Canis lupus familiaris: one gene and its partners. The main gene of each other region encodes a partner of the protein of the gene in region 3 in a complex. Links are inferred from orthologs where the notes say so. Each region holds a gene or a part of one and is shown on either strand. Other genes may lie near its edges.

What was found.
Region 1: the proteins of RNASEH2B (region 3) and RNASEH2A are in contact, whole or in part, in a crystal structure (PDB 3PUF), measured with the Homo sapiens proteins. The link is inferred for Canis lupus familiaris from reciprocal best matches to the Homo sapiens genes RNASEH2B and RNASEH2A. Residues at the interface, in NP_078846.2 of Homo sapiens: His16, Phe18, Lys39, Asn42, Gly48, Ala49, Ile50, Val63, Lys64, Val65, Phe66, Lys67, His70, Phe74, Val79, His86, Phe87, Val183, Tyr211, Gly214, Leu215, Asp218, Tyr219; in NP_006388.2 of Homo sapiens: Val227, Phe228, Ile253, Trp254, Glu255, Ser284, His285, Tyr287, Phe288, Arg291, Gly292, Leu293, Glu294, Ser295, Ala296, Thr297, Ser298, Leu299.
Region 2: the proteins of RNASEH2B (region 3) and RNASEH2C are in contact, whole or in part, in a crystal structure (PDB 3PUF), measured with the Homo sapiens proteins. The link is inferred for Canis lupus familiaris from reciprocal best matches to the Homo sapiens genes RNASEH2B and RNASEH2C. Residues at the interface, in NP_078846.2 of Homo sapiens: Arg14, Gln15, His16, Val17, Phe18, Leu19, Val20, Ser21, Glu22, Leu24, Leu35, Met36, Phe37, Val38, Lys39, Leu52, Glu62, Lys64, Phe66, Glu68, His70, His71, Ser72, Trp73, Phe74, Ile75, Asn76, Gln77, Ser78, Val79; in NP_115569.2 of Homo sapiens: Ile9, His12, Arg13, Val14, His15, Leu16, Ser18, Ala27, Thr28, Leu29, His30, Leu31, Leu32, Pro33, Cys34, Glu35, Val36, Ala37, Val38, Asp39, Gly40, Pro41, Ala42, Pro43, Val44, Gly45, Phe48, Phe63, Val75, Pro77.
Region 4: the proteins of RNASEH2B (region 3) and PCNA are in contact, whole or in part, in a crystal structure (PDB 3P87), measured with the Homo sapiens proteins. The link is inferred for Canis lupus familiaris from reciprocal best matches to the Homo sapiens genes RNASEH2B and PCNA. Residues at the interface, in NP_078846.2 of Homo sapiens: Asp290, Ser292, Gly293, Met294, Lys295, Ser296, Ile297, Asp298, Phe300, Phe301; in NP_002583.1 of Homo sapiens: Met40, His44, Val45, Ser46, Leu47, Glu124, Leu126, Gly127, Ile128, Pro129, Phe207, Ala208, Asp232, Val233, Pro234, Tyr250, Leu251, Ala252, Pro253, Lys254, Ile255, Glu256.

Annotation. Positions count from the first base shown.
Region 1 is NC_049241.1:49,746,571-49,750,770, forward strand, and holds the start of RNASEH2A (ribonuclease H2 subunit A), read right to left. Parts: upstream 2,802-4,200; 5' UTR 2,654-2,801; coding exon 2,527-2,653; intron 2,338-2,526; coding exon 2,266-2,337; intron 2,143-2,265; coding exon 2,016-2,142; intron 1,914-2,015; coding exon 1,826-1,913; intron 1-1,825. Other genes in the region: THSD8 (thrombospondin type-1 domain-containing protein 8), read right to left, coding at 3,730-3,929. UniProt on the Homo sapiens protein: Catalytic subunit of RNase HII, an endonuclease that specifically degrades the RNA of RNA:DNA hybrids. Participates in DNA replication, possibly by mediating the removal of lagging-strand Okazaki fragment RNA primers during DNA replication.
Region 2 is NC_049239.1:51,998,507-52,002,806, reverse strand, and holds the start of RNASEH2C (ribonuclease H2 subunit C), read right to left. Parts: upstream 2,804-4,300; 5' UTR 2,730-2,803; coding exon 2,558-2,729; intron 2,370-2,557; coding exon 2,182-2,369; intron 2,097-2,181; coding exon 1,977-2,096; intron 1,677-1,976; coding exon of another isoform or gene 1,650-1,676; exon of another isoform or gene 1,542-1,649; intron 1,469-1,541; exon of another isoform or gene 1,061-1,468; coding exon of another isoform or gene 926-1,060; intron 835-925; coding exon of another isoform or gene 753-834; intron 629-752; coding exon of another isoform or gene 469-628; intron 307-468; coding exon 196-306; 3' UTR 188-195; exon of another isoform or gene 1-187. Other genes in the region: histone acetyltransferase KAT5, read left to right, coding at 469-628, 753-834, 926-1,060.
Region 3 is NC_049243.1:922,285-925,445, forward strand, and holds the end of RNASEH2B (ribonuclease H2 subunit B), read right to left. Parts: intron 995-3,161; coding exon 878-994; 3' UTR 558-877; downstream 1-557. UniProt on the Homo sapiens protein: Non catalytic subunit of RNase H2, an endonuclease that specifically degrades the RNA of RNA:DNA hybrids. Participates in DNA replication, possibly by mediating the removal of lagging-strand Okazaki fragment RNA primers during DNA replication.
Region 4 is NC_049245.1:16,928,695-16,932,695, reverse strand, and holds the start of PCNA (proliferating cell nuclear antigen), read right to left. Parts: upstream 2,801-4,001; 5' UTR 2,605-2,800; coding exon 2,384-2,604; intron 1,324-2,383; coding exon 1,226-1,323; intron 1,058-1,225; coding exon 990-1,057; intron 101-989; coding exon 1-100. UniProt on the Homo sapiens protein: Auxiliary protein of DNA polymerase delta and epsilon, is involved in the control of eukaryotic DNA replication by increasing the polymerase's processibility during elongation of the leading strand.

The DNA of each region.
Region 1 (4,200 bases), on a different chromosome or scaffold from region 3:
TCAGTTTAAAAGTCCCCTCCAGGGGCACCTGGCTGGCTCAGTCGGCAGAGTGTGCAACTCTTGATCTTCACGTCATGAATTTGAGCCCCACACTGGGTGCAGAGATTACTTAAAAAAAAGGAAAAGAAAAGTCCCCTCCAAAAGAGGCTGTCCCTGATCAAGCTGAAGCTATTCCACACTTACTGAGCACCTACTGCATACCACAGCTACAGCAGATGCCAGGAATTATAGAAGCAAATGCAAGACAAAAAAACCTCTGTCTTCATGGAGTGGATACCCTGGTAAGTGCCACAGACAAGAAACAGGATAAATAATAAAGGACAGGGGAGAGTTGGGAGAGATTATCATTTTATTTCTTATCTACTTTTTTTTTTAAGATTTTATTTATTTATTCATGAGAGACACAGGCAGAGGGAGAAGCAGGCTCCAGGCAGGGAGCCTAATGTGGGACTCGATCCCGGGACTCCAGGATCACAACCTGGGCCAAAGGTGGCACTAAACCGCTGAGCCACGCAGGCTGCCCTACTTATTTTTTTAAGTATGCTCTATGTCCAATGTGGTGCTTAAACTCTTGACCCTGAGATCAAGAGTACCATGCTCTAACGACTGAGCCAGCCAGGCATGCTGGGGGGGTATCATTTTATATAGTGGTAGGAGAGATTCGGGGATGGTCACTTCAAGGTGGTAACATTTGAATAAAGGCCTGAAAAAGGTAAGAGAAGGAGCCATGTGAAGATGCCATGTGAAGAGGATTCTAGCCAGAAAGAACAGCTAGTGCAAAGGCCCTGAGGTGGGACCATGTCAAGTATGCTAGACAGTAACAGGGAGGCCTCATAGCTGGAATAGAGAGATCAAGTCAGTGATCTCCATTGCTGTTACCCTCAGAAATCACCTTTATTATCTGCTTACCAGCTACCATCTGTGCCTCCTGACTTGGTCACCAAACCCTAGAGGGCAGGGCCCTTGTCTGTCTGTCCTAATACTGCATTGTGGGCTCCATATTCCAGTCCTGGACTTCAGCCATCTCCTCAACAAGGTCTCCCTTGTTATGTTCCCTATCTCAAGCGTATTTATCCTTGTTATTCTCTCAAAACGGCCTGTTCTTGGCCGCAGAGTACTGGATACAATGCCAACTTTTATTTCCTTCTGGTATTTCAATCTCACTCTCTTCCACTTGACACTGAACTTTCCAGATTTGTTACTGGGATCAAAAAATTAAATGTTGAGATCTATGTTTCAAAACGTGACTATCTGCTTCACAGGAGCAGACTATAAAGGACAGGCCTCAAAGTGGGAGGAGGATGGGGGGGAATCCAGGAGAGAAGAGTACCCTGGGCTAGGACAGAGGCTGCAGACAGGGGAACAGATATAGATTTGTTCTGGATTCCGAGCCTTTAAGATACAGAGAGATAAATCAGGTCACCTGGGTGGCTCAGTGGTTGAGTGTCTGCCTTTGGCTCAGGTTGTGATCCAAGGGTCCTGGGATCGAGTCCTACATCAGGCTTCTCACAGGAAGCCTGCTTCTCCCTCTGCCTATGTTTCTCCCTCTCTCTCTCTGTGTCTCTCATGAATAAATAAATGAAATCCTAAAAAAAAAAAAAAAAAAAAAAGATACAGAGGTAAATTAAAAGAGAGTGGAGCTGGGGGCTCCTCCTTGATCCTATATGGGGCACACATTTTGGGTAGGAAAAATAGTAGAAAGTCAAAAGACAGCAATATATATTCCTGAGATAACTCAGTTATGTCTGACTCTGAATCACCCACTGTACTTATATACTCCCATTTTATCCTGAAGTGATCAAATGTGGACAATCCAACAGCTCACCTGTGCAACTTTCACACCCTGGTCCAAGGCATACTGCACCAGCCCAGTGGCTGTATCATGGGATAGGGAGTTCAGGTTGTACTTGACCCTGCAATGGGAGACAAAACCTAGTCAGTTCCGGTCCCTACACCGATCCCTTCCAGGCCACGCTGGCTGCCCCTCCACCCGGCCCCTCCCAGAGGCCCCTCACCGCCCAAGCATGCTCGTAGAGATGAGGTTTGGAGACAGCACGTCCAATGCCCAGCCCACAAAGTCCCTGTCCTTCTCCATTTTCACAAAGAGCCTGTCCCGCTCGCTCTCCGATAGGGTCTTTGAGTCTGGGAGGAGGGTTGGGAGAGAAGGGGTGCGACTGGTTCTCCCAGCTGTTCTCCCCCTCCAGTTTGCACCCGCTCCTGCACACACCCAGGAACCACCTCCCCAGGGTCACACCTCGGGCTCACCTGCCACTTTCAGGGCTTCCAGATCTCCCAGGCGGGACAGGGGGCAATAACAGATGGCGTAGACCATGGGGCCTGGAGAAGCGAGTGTCCAACCAGTGAGCCCGTGAAAACCGCTATCCTTATTCCATCATCACCGCTTTTTTCGGTGCCATTACCACCATCACCCCCCTCCCCGGGTAGGGTACAATCCCGGCTTGCGTTCCAGTGCAACGTGCATTCCCCTAATCACGCCCCTCCCCCAGCCCAGCCCTGGGGGCGCACCCAGCACCGGGCCCCGGCCCGCTTCATCGACGCCCAGGACGCAGGGCTCCTGGCGGCACACCGCGGGCACAGGCGAGCTCAGGCGACAGCGGCCCGTGTTGTCTCTGTCCAGCTCGCTGAAATCCATGCCGTCTCTGCCGCCGCCACCGACCGCAAGAACCAGGTCTACAGGAGCGGTTCTAGGCGCGCGTTTTCCGCCGGCCCCGAAGCGGCTCTGGCTCCCGACCAATCGGTGCCCGGGACACGCCCCCGACGCTCCGGCCACCGTTGACGTTTCCGCAGCCGCCACCGAAACTCCTGCCGCGCGGCTTCCTGGGAATTGTAGTTCCCAAGGCCGACCGCCGAGCTCCTTCGGGGGAACGGGGTGGGCGGGGTCGCCTTCCAGGCTCCGCCCCGGAGTCCCTGACGCCCCGCCCGTCGGGGCTGCTAGGAGATAGGGAAATAAAAGTGGGAAACTGACGCAGGCCTTGGAGGCCGAGGCCCAGCCAGGGCCTAGAAGGTCAAATATCACTATACTGCCAGACTACCGCCAGTGCCCACATCACTGGGTCCCGGTCCCCGATCTGGATGCTGGCTCTGGTCCCTGTCCCTGCCATTCCACACAGGCTAAGCCCTCCGGACCAGGTATTCCTACTTCCACTGGGCTCAGGCCTTCAGATTTGCTGTCCAGCTCCCTCTCTCGGTACCTCACCCAGACTCTCGCCCTCCCTTTCCCGGCTTCCTAACCTCTCTCTAACTGGGGCTAGGCCTCCTCCACCCACCCCCTCCCAACTGTGATCCCAGATCTCAATAGGCTTCTGCTGAGAGTCTGAGCCCACAAGGCAGGGCCATTACCCCCAGTTGAGGGTTCATGTCCCCCAGTTCTCGAGTCTCAAAGGGGCTCACATCGTCACCCTATAGGTCCTTGACCCTCATCAGGCTCATGTCCCTTCCTCAGGGTCACAGTTCCTCCATCTCTGATCCCCCCCTCCCGGCCCATGACTAGCTTTCTTCCTTTCTCCCCGGGTATCAGTGGGGCTCACGGCTCCTGACTCAGCTCACCTTTCCCCACCATCTTTAAGCCTCATCCCTAAAGGCTCTCCTGCCCGCACCCCCCACGCCCCGCCTTTTCTCTCGCCTCATCCCAGGCCCTGAGGACTCCCAACCCCGGACTAGACCACCTGCCCTGGCCCCGCCTCCTCTGCGCTAGTCTCTCACCCGGGTTCAGGGCCTCCAGTCGCAATCCGTTGGTTTGCAGGATGAACAATCCCGTTGCCTGCAGGGCCGCACCTGCACCAGATTCTCGCGGTCCATGAACACCGGACCCGGCGCCGTGCCCAGGACCTCGCGGCTGCGCTCCTGCTTGCCCAGGTCGCAGAAACAGCGCCACTTCCCCCAGGGGCCAAGGATCGAGTCCTCCAAGTCTAGGGATAGAGGGCCAGGTAGGGGGGAACCTACCCCCGCCATGCCCTCCTCTAGGAAGAGAGGCAGATAAATACACTAACAACAACATCTCCTGTTTGCTGGGCTCTGCGTCTGTGCCAAGCACTCCACCATAGATGATCTAATTTAATTTTCCCATTATTCCCAGGTGGGGAAACTGAGACCTATAGAAAGCAAGCCACCCCTTGAGCTGATACATCTGGTGTGTTGCCCAGAGGAATTGCAAACTGACACTTCCCACCTGTGCCAGCC
Region 2 (4,300 bases), on a different chromosome or scaffold from region 3:
GCTTCTTATCAACACCTAGTCAGGCCAGCCTGGTCCTGGAGCAGCCAATGCTCCCCAGGTCACAGCTAGGGGGACTGACTTGACTGCAAATCCAGACATCCTGAGGCCCAGACCACACGTGGGGGCTGCCTTCCCTTCTCACATACCCAGGAGATATGGTCTGGAATGATGAAAATCAGGCACTTGCCTTTCTTGTCATTTTCTCTGCACTTCCCTGGTTCCTGAGTTTTTCTCCAGGTGGATTATAGCTGTTCCTTTCAGTACCCTCCACAGCACAGAGATGAAGAGTGAATGCTCATTAGCTCTCTGGGGAAACAGACACAGCAGACTAGCTACGTATGTCAGGTCACAGAACTACCACATGGCAAGGGTGAGATGGGAACCAGGCAGTTTACTCCTGTAACCATATTCTGAAAGTTGCATGAAGGTGTGATCGCTTACCCACCCCTTCTTGCTGCCTTGCTGTAGGCTATGAACTCTCCAAAGTGGAAGGGAAAACGGGGACCCCTGAGAAGCCCCTCTCAGACCTTGGCCTCCTATCCTACCGAAGCTACTGGTCCCAGACCATCCTGGAGATCCTGATGGGGCTGAAGTCAGAGAGCGGGGAGAGGCCACAGATCACCATCAAGTGAGCCTGGCCCTACCTCTGACCCTGGGGGTGCATGGCATGGCCCATCCTCATTCCTGGGGCTCCTGGGGGCTTGGGGCAGAGAGGAAGGCCTCCAGAGGACCTGATCCTTGTCCTCCCACAGCGAGATCAGTGAAATCACCAGCATCAAGAAGGAAGATGTCATTTCTACTCTACAGTACCTCAATCTCATCAACTACTACAAGGTAGGGAGGCAGGCAGGGGGAGACGTGTGTGTAGGGCTGCAGAGTGTGCACCCCACATGGGCTGACCCTTCCGGTCCTATCTCCCATCCAGGGCCAGTATATCCTCACACTGTCTGAGGACATCGTGGATGGGCATGAAAGAGCTATGCTCAAGCGGCTCCTTCGAATCGACTCCAAGTGTTTGCACTTCACTCCCAAGGACTGGAGCAAGAGGGGAAAATGGTGACCAGGCACTGTCTATAGCAGTGGCAACAAAGCAGAACTGGGGCTGACAGCACATCCCACCCCCACCAGGGCCCCCAAGAGGCACACCAAGGGAGGTGGGGCTGAGGACAGCTTCATAAGGAGAGGACAGGCCTGGTAGGGGCTAGCTGCCCAGCACCAAGGCGAGCTCAGGGCTCAGGTCAACTCCAAGGTCAACTGGCTGCAGGTCTGGGCCTGCTATGAAGCAGGGACTGGACGGAGCCAAGCAGCTATGTACAGTGAGATGGGGGGTGGGTGCACTCTGTACAGAGGGCTAGTGGCTGTAAAAATTTCTTTTGTAAGGAGTTGGGAGGAGGGGTGGGTACTGGCAGCAAAATTCTGGCCTCTTGCCCTCACTGCTCCTTGGCAATAAATCATTTCTATAGACTGAGCCATGAAAGTTTCTTGTGGGAGAAGGGGTAGTGCCAGCTTAGAAGACTCCAAGGTGCCCACAAACTCGCAGGTGCTGTGAAGAGCTTGTTTATTGGGGTGATGGAATCAGTGGTTCCAAAATGAAGAGCTGGTTTATTGGGGTGAAGGAACCAGTGGCTTTCAATTTCAAGTTCCGGCTCTCAGTCTTCAGGCACCTGTGCGTGAATCTGCAACAGGAGTCACCTCTACTATTGGGTTTTTGACACACACTGGGTGGCCCACATACTCTGGGAGTGACCCAGCTACTCAGAATGACAACCCCTTCTAGACCAGTCAGAGGTAGGGAAGCGCCCCTGCCCCTGACCAGTCTAATCCAGTCAGACCCAGGCTCCTTGTACCCCATTGTACTCCCCGGCCCTGAAGCCCCAAGTCCACTCGGACAAGATTCTGGACAGTCCAGGGAATACCCTTGAAGGCACAAGGGAATGGATGGGGCCTGAAGAGTGAGGTCCCATCCCCCTACTCACCGCTGCGGCCAGACTGGGCCAGGTTAGGGCCCCGCGCACTTTGGCGTCCGGACCAGGAATGGTCTCCAGACCCCATAGCGTGAAGCGGCTGAAACTGGCGATGGCTCCGATAAACTGGTCCTGAGGAAGGGGCCCGGCTCAGCATGAGGGCCACCGCTGCCGCCCGCACCACTCTCCAGCCCTGCCCCTCCACCCCCGTGCTCACGAAGTCCCGCTCCAGCGCCTCGCGGGGTTCTGCCCGCTCCTGCTCCTCTCGCTCGTCACCCTCCGAGAAGTCCTTCTCCATCGACACCTCTCCCTGCTCCTCCATCGCCATCACGTATCCCACGAGGCCAGGAGGCACCACCACCTCCTCGCCTCGTAGTTTGCGGCCCCGAAACGACACTTCGAGTCCTGCAGAAGGCAGGCTCGGGACCTCGGTACGGGCTTGATTCAGGGCTTGCGGGGCAAGCCCCCCGGGGCCCTCCCGCCACCTCCGTTGGACCACGATCCCCAGGAGCCCTCGCGCCACTCCTCGCCGAGGAGAACGTGGCGTGGGCGCGGGGGTTGCCGGGAGTCGTAGTCCGGCGGTGAGCACTCACCGTCGGGACCCTGTCGAATGGCTGGGGTGAAGAAGCGGTCCACGGGGGCGGGCCGGTTAACTAGAACCTCGCAAGGCAGAAGATGCAGCGTGGCGCGAGCGGCGTCGCGCAGCGTGCCGGGGCGCAAGTGGACGCGGCACTTCTCGACTGCTGCCTCCTCGCTACTCTCCATTCTCCGCCGCCGATTCCGCTGCTCGGTGGCCAAGGCCAAAGCTGGCGCGTAAAGCGCGCGGAGCCTGTCGGGAGTCCGGGGACGCTCAGCTCAGAGCCTCCTGGGAAGCGTAGTCCTTCCTTGAGGCTCCTCTGAGCCTCTGCGAGCCCTGCCTCGATGTGTTCAAATCCCAGTCTTTTTTTCTTGAAAATGATTTTCAGGAGTACATTCTTATGGTAAAAAATCGAAACTATTCCGAAAAGTACTCTTTTTATGTTATTGGTAGGGAGAGTTGCTTGTTTGTTTTACTGGGGACATCACTTCCTCAAATGCGTTGAAGTTATTTTATCCGAGTTTGTGATTTGTTCTCCAAACTGACTTATTTTTTTTTGTAGTAGATTAATCAATCTTTTCTTCTTACGTCTTTTTTGTTTACGCAATACTATTTCTTTTTTGGTTTCTTAACTCTTTCCTAATGTTTATTTGTTCAGATACCCAAATTAAATATGTTTTGTCAAGTTCTTTCGTAAAACAAGAACAGACATAACTGGCAATTAAGTTTAAAATTGCATTTAATTTATAGATTTGAGAAAGTTAAACACACCTCCAGACATCCAGGTACTGGCCGTGGTGTTCTGTTAAACATGAACAATTTCACAGAGTATCAACATTGGACAAAGTCACTGCGTGATGTGAGGGATCAAGACAAAAACAAGATCACTCTATAGTCATGTGATCACCAACAAAGAGAGGAACATTGTCCAAACCACAAGAATGATGAAACATCGACCATGTTGGGAAATATAAGTGAACTTTACCAATTACAGCTTTAGCTTTTGTCTGGGTAAGATCTGTTAACATATCCCATCCTAGAAATACTTCCCCTTCTTGACAGTATCCAATCCAGAGAAAAACTCTGGCTTTCTTAAACCCTCCCCCAAATCACTTAGCGCAAGCCAAATCCTGTAAATCCTTTCTGAACACCATCTTACTGAGATGTCCAACAGTACAAGAGTAATAAACACGTCTGTTCAACTATAGATGTTTCCTGGTAGTCTTTGGCTGGAGGGTACTAACAGATTAGAGCGTCTTGCTGTAGTTTTCTATCAAGAATAAGATATATAATACCATTTGTTCTTTTTTTTTCTTTAATACCATTTATTCTTTTTTTAAAGATTATTTATTTATTTATTAATGAGAGAGAGAGAGAGAGAGGCAGAGACACAGGCAGAGGGAGAAGCAGGCTCCATGCAGGGAGCCCAACCTGGGACTTGATCACAGGTCTCCAGGATCAAGCCCTGGGCTGAAGGCAGCGCTAAACCACTGAGCCACCCTTATTCTTATCTCCTTTAATGTCTGCCTGTGCAACTCTAAAGTTGTTTTTTTGTTGTATATAATAGTTATGTATTTTATTTTTTTATTTTTATTTTTTTTTAAATTTTTATTTATTTATGATAGTCACAGAGAGAGAGAGAGAGAGAGAGAGAGAGAGAGGCAGAGACACAGGCAGAGGGAGAAGCAGGCTCCATGCACCGGGACCCCGATGTGGGATTTGATCCCGGGTCTCCAGGATCGCGCCCTGGGCCAAAGGC
Region 3 (3,161 bases):
TAAACTGGCAAGTCCACATCTAAAAATCTATTCTAAGGGAGCAATTAAAGATGTGAACAAACATTTACTTATAATCTGATTCTTCAAACAGTGAACATTTGTAAGTAATGTAAATGTCCAAAATAGGGTCATGGTCATTAAATAATCAAATATCCAAATAATTAAAAATGACCAGCATTAAAAAAAAGCGTATTTATGAAGAATACTTTAGTAGCCTGGGAAGATGCTCCCAAAATAAAGTGTCAAGAAAGAAGATGATAAAATTAGTATTACGATTCCTTAAAAAATTATTATTATAAGAACATGTGCCATATATGATCTCTGGGTAGTGTCAAGTTGGGAGATTACCACTTTAATTTTACGCCTTTCCCTATTTTCTACAACAAACATGTATTCATAAAACAGAAAATATTAAACAGAAGATTTACTGAAAACAAATGGCTTTTAGGAGGTAGTAGTCTCCCCGACAGCTGCTGATTGCTGTCAGTGCGCTGAAAACCATACTGCTATAGGCACCGTGTGGCAAAGCGGCATAAAGTAACAGGCACACACTCAAATATTGTCACATGTCAGTTTATTGAGCAAAAACCAGGATGCCAGCTAGAGGATAACTCTATTCACTTGATTACTTTTCATGATGTCAAACAAAACTCTGAAGGCCACAGGCCACAGAGTTACACAATGACTTTCCCACATTTTGTTCAGAAAGACAAAAATCAAATCCCAGGAAATGTCTGACTCTGAAAATTGCCTTGATTTTTTTTTTTTTTTCCTCCAAAAGGCAGTAATTAAGTCAGGAGGTACATTGGTGTGGGGGAAGGACAAAAAAGGAACATGTAAAAGGCAAATAATTTTGCTAGATTTCATTGTCAAAGTTTCAGATCTTTTCAATTTTTTTTTTATTTTTCGTAGCAAAAAAGGAATCAATACTTTTCATTCCACTCTTGTCAACTTTAGCCAAAGCCTTCTGAGCTGCAGTCATTTTGCTATTTTTCTGTTAAGGAAAATAAGAGAAAAATTGTTACAAATGTAACATTTATGAATCGTACATGCAAATCAGACAAGACCATGCATGTCTCAAGGTTCATGTATTTGTTGCTAACGTGTTTCATAAGGGAGCAATGATGATGATGATGATGATGATGATGATGATGATGATTTTTTTTTTTAAGTTCTGATTTCCATTCCGAGTTTAGACCCAAGACATAAAGTCTGGAGCAACAGGCAGGAGACAAACCTCTGCCCTCTGAGGGTGGAACGTTACGACCCGTGGTTGACTTTGGGGGGACGGCTCCGGAGGAAGGGCCTATTAGCCCAGTAGCGCCAACAAAGAGACTGGGAGCGACTGGGGGGGTCACAGCGTGTTGCGGCGTGATGACGGGTGCACAACGGGCGCCGCTGCGTTGCTCTCGGGGGCCCAGGGCAGCCACGGGGGCCTAGGACAGCTGCTGTATCCCAGACAACCCGTACCCGGGAGCATGGGGACCAGCAGGGCGACCGCCCCGGTCCTCTTCCAACAAAGGGAGACTTTTCAAAAGGCTGCCTTGGAGGAGCCCTGCCTTTTAAAGGCCGCTCCCCTGCCGGTCACTGCCTGGCTCCGTCCTGGGACCCACGTGCCAGAGGCTAAAGAGCAGCAGGGCCACACGGGGTGGGACTCGGCAAAGCCGAAGCCAAGCCCTCTGTCCCCCGAGCGCCGTGGGGCGAAGCCTCTGCCGGAGAACCTTCCAAGGGCACGGGGCATGGTCCCTGGCATCTTGCTTCTCATATTCGGCCCCATTTCAGGGGCTTGTTTTTTGCCTGGATGGGACAAAGTGACAGTCTCCTCGAGACGAGTTATCCCCCGAATTCAGCTGACACCCTGGCCCAACCTCTCAGTTCCTGGGACTGTGCCCAGGTAGACGGGACAAAAAGCAGCCGTCACAAGGGTGGGGGCAGAAACAATTCCATGGAGGAACTCAGGAACGGCCCTCTACGGAAGCCGTCCAGAATGCTCCCTATCTTGCCAAGTCTCAACTTGGATTACCCCCTGACGTGGCCTGCCCAGATACGTTACGCAGAGCCCCAAGAGTCAAACCGATGAACGTTAAATGCCAAGGAGCGGGTAACTGCTGTTAAAATTTAGGAGAAGGGGATCCCTGGGTGGCTCAGCCTTTTGGCACCTGCCTTCAGCCCAGGACATGATCCTGGAGACCCAGGATCGAGTCCCAGTCCCACGTCGGGCTCCCTGCATGGAGCCTGCTTCTCCCTCTGCCTGTGTCTCTGCCTCTCTCTTTGTGTCTCTCATGAATAAATGAATAAAATCTTTAAAAAATAATAAAAAAAATAAAATTTAGGAGGAAGTTAATTTATCTTAGGGCAGGCAAGGTCTTTCTAAGCATAAAAATAATGAGAAAATCACAAGGAAAAACATTTCCTACATTTAATCCTCAGAATAACTTACAACTGTTTAAAAAAAAATAGAATAAAAAGGCTAAAAGCCAATTAGGGAATTATTTGTACCCTGTATGTCATGAAGTGTTGTTAAATTCCTAATCTAGAATAGGCTCTTAAAAATCAACAAGAAAAACCCTAGTATTCCAATACGAAAAACAGGCACTGGACATGGACTGACAATTTGCAGAAATGCAAATGGACCACAATCATTTGGAAAAAACAACAACTAACTTTTCTCGTCAGAGAAATACAGCCTAATTAGAGAGTCAAAAATTTCAAGAATAAAGATAATATTCAGTGTTGTCAACAAAGCAAGATGAATGCTCAACAGCAATGATGGTTGGGAATACAAATTTCTACATTTTTGGAAAGCAGTTTATATACATATACACATACATATGTGCATATATATACAGTTTATATAACATGTATACACACACATACATAAACATATATTTACACACATATATAAACATGAGCTCCTTCCACATGATTTACATGTTTTATAGTCATGTATATGATTATATGACAAAATCATATGATTATATATAATAAATATATAAAACCACAATCCTATATATGTGCACACATATATTTATATATTGTCTCAAATCACAATCCTATATATGTACACACACACATATATTTATATATTATCTCAAAAATCATGGAAAGAGCTCATGTTTTCTTTTTTTTTCCTTTTTTTTTTTCCACAGAGCTCATGTTTT
Region 4 (4,001 bases), on a different chromosome or scaffold from region 3:
CGCAGGAAATTACAACAGCATCTCCGATGTGACTCAGATCTCGGCATATACGTGCAAATTCTCCAGAAGGCATCTTTACCACACAGCTATATTCTTGTTCCTGTTAAAATGAAAAATTAGAGTTCACTTGCTGGAAACTAAATTTGGCATTCTCATTTTTCTGAAGCCTCAGCATTTAGACAAGAATTCAGAATTTAAGGTTTTCTGATTACTTTAAAATATCACTCATTGTGTATTTCCATAACATAATCTCTAACTCAAAAAATAAATGCAGATATAAAACAAGTATGGGGATCCCTGGGTGGCGCAGCAGTTTGGCGCCTGCCTTTGGCCCAGGGCGCGATCCTGGAGACCCGGGATCGAATCCCACATCAGGCTCCCGGTGCATGGAGCCTGCTTCTCCCTCTGCCTGTGTCTCTGCCTCTCTCTCTCTCTCTCTCTCTCTCTCTCTGTGACTATCATAAATAAATAAAAATTAAAAAAAAATTTTTAAAACAATATGTCATAAGAATAATCATACTAAGAAAACTAAAATTAAAGTTTAAATCTTTAATGATAAATGCACTATCCAGGAGAAAAGAGCCTCCCCCTAAATCCCCCTCCAGGGCTAAATCAAGAGGACATTAGGGTATGGCCTACAAATGATGATGCGTGTGCAAGCAGGCCCAACTGCTTACCAAAACAAAACAAGAAGATAAGATAGTAAGGATTTTAAACATCTCAACATTTCTTATGTTGATAAACCTCACCTGAATGAATTTCTGCTAACACAGCTTTATTTTTATTTTTAAGATTTTATTTATTTATTCATGAAAGACACAGAGACAGAGAGAGAGGCAGAGACACAAGAAGAGGGAGAAGCAAGCTCCATGCAGGGAGCCTCAATCCTGGGACTCCAGGATTATGCCCCTGGCGGAAGGCAGGTGCCAAACCGCTGAGCCACCCAGGGATCCCCTAACACTGCTTTAAAGTCTACTCTTAATACTCACTGGAATTCCAAGTTGTTCAACATCTAAATCCATTAACTTCATTTCATAGTCTGAAACTTTTTCTTGATCTACCAAAAGAAAGCAGATTGAAGAAAAGTATGTAAGTTTATAACTATGCCATTAATAAGCTTTACAATCATTAGGAACATTTTCTTAAGTTTTTCACAACTAAGAGAAATCTTTTACACTGCATTTAAATTTCCTCTAATATAATTTAGTAGAAGAGTATCACCTACTTGGAGCTTCAAATACTAGTGCCAAGGTGTCCGCATTATCTTCAGCCCTTAGTGTAATGATGTCTTCATTGCCAGCACATTTTAGTATTTTGGACATGCTAGAACACGGAAGACACAGGATTTAAAATTGCCACAACGTTCTCAGAATCGTTAAGATTTCTGACCCAATTAAAACAAGGAGTTACCATCTTTATTTACCAAGGTCGTCTGAGGAATTGGTGAGTGAGGTAAACTAATCCGGCCATTTTGTAACCCAATTTGGCAGTATTTATTCTTAAACAGGCACACAGCCTACCATGAGCAATTTCACTTCTAGATACAAATAAAAGAGCAGCATTTCACGCATTGCAAATTGCAAATCCCTTTGGTGCGCGAAGCAAATTATTGGGTCCTGACGGTCAAGAAAAATGAGCTAAGATACTTATTAATACACACTGCATGCAGTCGAGGTCAACTATTTCTCATAAGCCTCATATTTGAACATGTTTTTGGAAGGCGGGGTGGCTCAGTGGTTGAGCGCCTGCCTTTGGCTCACGTCGTGATCCCGGGGTCCTGGGATGGAGTCCCACATAGAGCTCCCTATGTGGAGCCTGAGGGAGCCTGCTTCTCCCTCTGCCTGCGTCTCTCACGAATAAATAAAATCTTTAAACATGTTCATGTACTAGACATGTAGTGATCAAAGAGTTGAAAGCCACTGCCCTGGAGAAATTTTAAGTCCAGGAACTTAGGGTGCTCACTGCAACTTCCTAATAATAAAGGACCAGAATCAACCGATGGTCCCTAGGTAGGGTGACGTAACTCGGGCACATTATAAAGCGGTTAAAGGCAGTCAAGCCAAAGGGTTCTCATCCAAGGCCGCCGGCACTTAGTGGCCAAGGTGCTGTGTAAGTCTTTTCCCGGCACCACGAAGAAGCCCGTCATTTTCCCGCCACCACCCGCTTTGTGACTTTGGCGCGGAAAACGCCGGTTCGCGCGGCTGCCAGCGCGGGCTTTCGGAACCGCGCGCTCCGCTAGATCCCGCCCCTGGGCGCCGCAGGCCAATGAGAAGGCGCGGGTCGCCCACGCCAGCCAATGAGGACCTAGCTCGCAGGCGCTCCCGCCAAGAGCCGGAGGTGGGGGTGCGAGAGAGCCCGGCCCTTGGCGACCCCAGGGGCTCACCTGGTGAGGTTCACACCCATGGCCAAGTTGCGGTCGCAGCGGTACGTGTCGAAGCCCTCGGAGCGCAGAGTGAGCTGCACCAGGGAGACGTGGGAGGAGTCCATGCTCTGCAGGTTTACGCCGCTCGAGCTGATGTCCCAGCAGGCCTCGTTGATGAGATCCTTAAGCGCCTCCAGCACCTTCTTCAGGATGGAGCCCTGGACCAGGCGCGCCTCGAACATGGTGGCAGAGTCACAACGACACAGCTGCAGGCGGAGACGAAGAGGAAGTTGTAGCCGGCTTGGCGTCACGGGGTACGAGCGAGCTGGCGAACGCAGCGGCGAGGGCCGGGGAGCCGGGACGATCACCGCCCGCCCGCTCCGCCTGCAACCGTTTAATAGCGCCGCGTCTGCTGGCGCGCGCGCTCCGCCTCTGCGCCGCGCGTGGCGCGTCACCACGTTGCCCCGCCCACTCCCTGGCGGACGGACTCCGGGGCCAATAGTGTCCTTGGCCTCCGCTCCAGCCCGTCCTCCCTGAACGTCCACTGAAGGGTCGGCCGCAGGGGCGGGGCAGGGGCGGGGCAGGAGCGGGGCGCCTCCGCCTCCCGCGGGACTGCCTTCTCCACCCCGCTCGCGACGCCGGGCGCTGAACAAGTCTGGGCTTGTGACGGCCAGACCCAGGTTGGGGTTCTTTGAGTTACAGCCTTGTGCTGCCTCCTCAACCTCCCGCTTCAGGACTAGAAAGGCTTTGGCCGTGAAAGTGAAAGGCAAATCCAGCCCACCGGGAGGAAGACGCCTGGCGGCCCGAGGAATACAGCTGTTTTAAAAGTGCATTTTATTTTTGCTATCGTAGAAGTGATGTGTTGATAAATGTTGCTAAGCTGACCACTGAAAGATTGCAATCTACAATATTTTCCTAAATACAGATATCAGCAATCTTGTTTTAAAAATCTAAGCTTATTTGCGTGAAAATTCTGATCTGCATATTAAAAACTTGTTACAGGGGGCACGTGGGTGGTTCAGTCAGTGGAGCCTCTGCCTTTGGCTCAGGTCATGACCCCAGGGTCCTGAGATCTAGATCCAAGGTTGGCTCCTGGCTCCGGGAGGAGTCTGCTTCTACCTCTCCTTCTCCCTCTGCCCCTCCCCAATATGTTTTCTCTCTCAAATAAATAAGATTTTAAATATTTTATTTACTCATGAGAGATACAGAGAGGCAGAGACGTAGGTAGAGGGAGAAGCAGGTTCCCTGCACAGAGCCTGATGCAGGACTCAATCCCAGGACCCCGGGATCAGGCCCTGAGCCAAAGGCAGATGTTCAACCACTGAGCCACTCAGGTGTCCCCATTTGTAAATTTTTTTTTTTTTTTTTTTAAGATATTCGTGAGAGACACACAGAGACAGAGAGAGGCAGAGACACAGGCAGAGGGAGAAGCAGGCTCCATGCAGGGAGCCCGACGTGGGACTCGATCCCGGGACTCCAGGATCACACCCTGGGCTGAAGGCGGCGCTAAACCGCTGAGCCACCTAGGCGTCCCCTCCCCCCACCTTTTTTCCCCCACCCCCCCCCCTTTTTTTTTTTTTAAACAGGTTCTTTTTTTTAATTTTATTTATGTATTTATTTATTTATTTATGATAGGCAC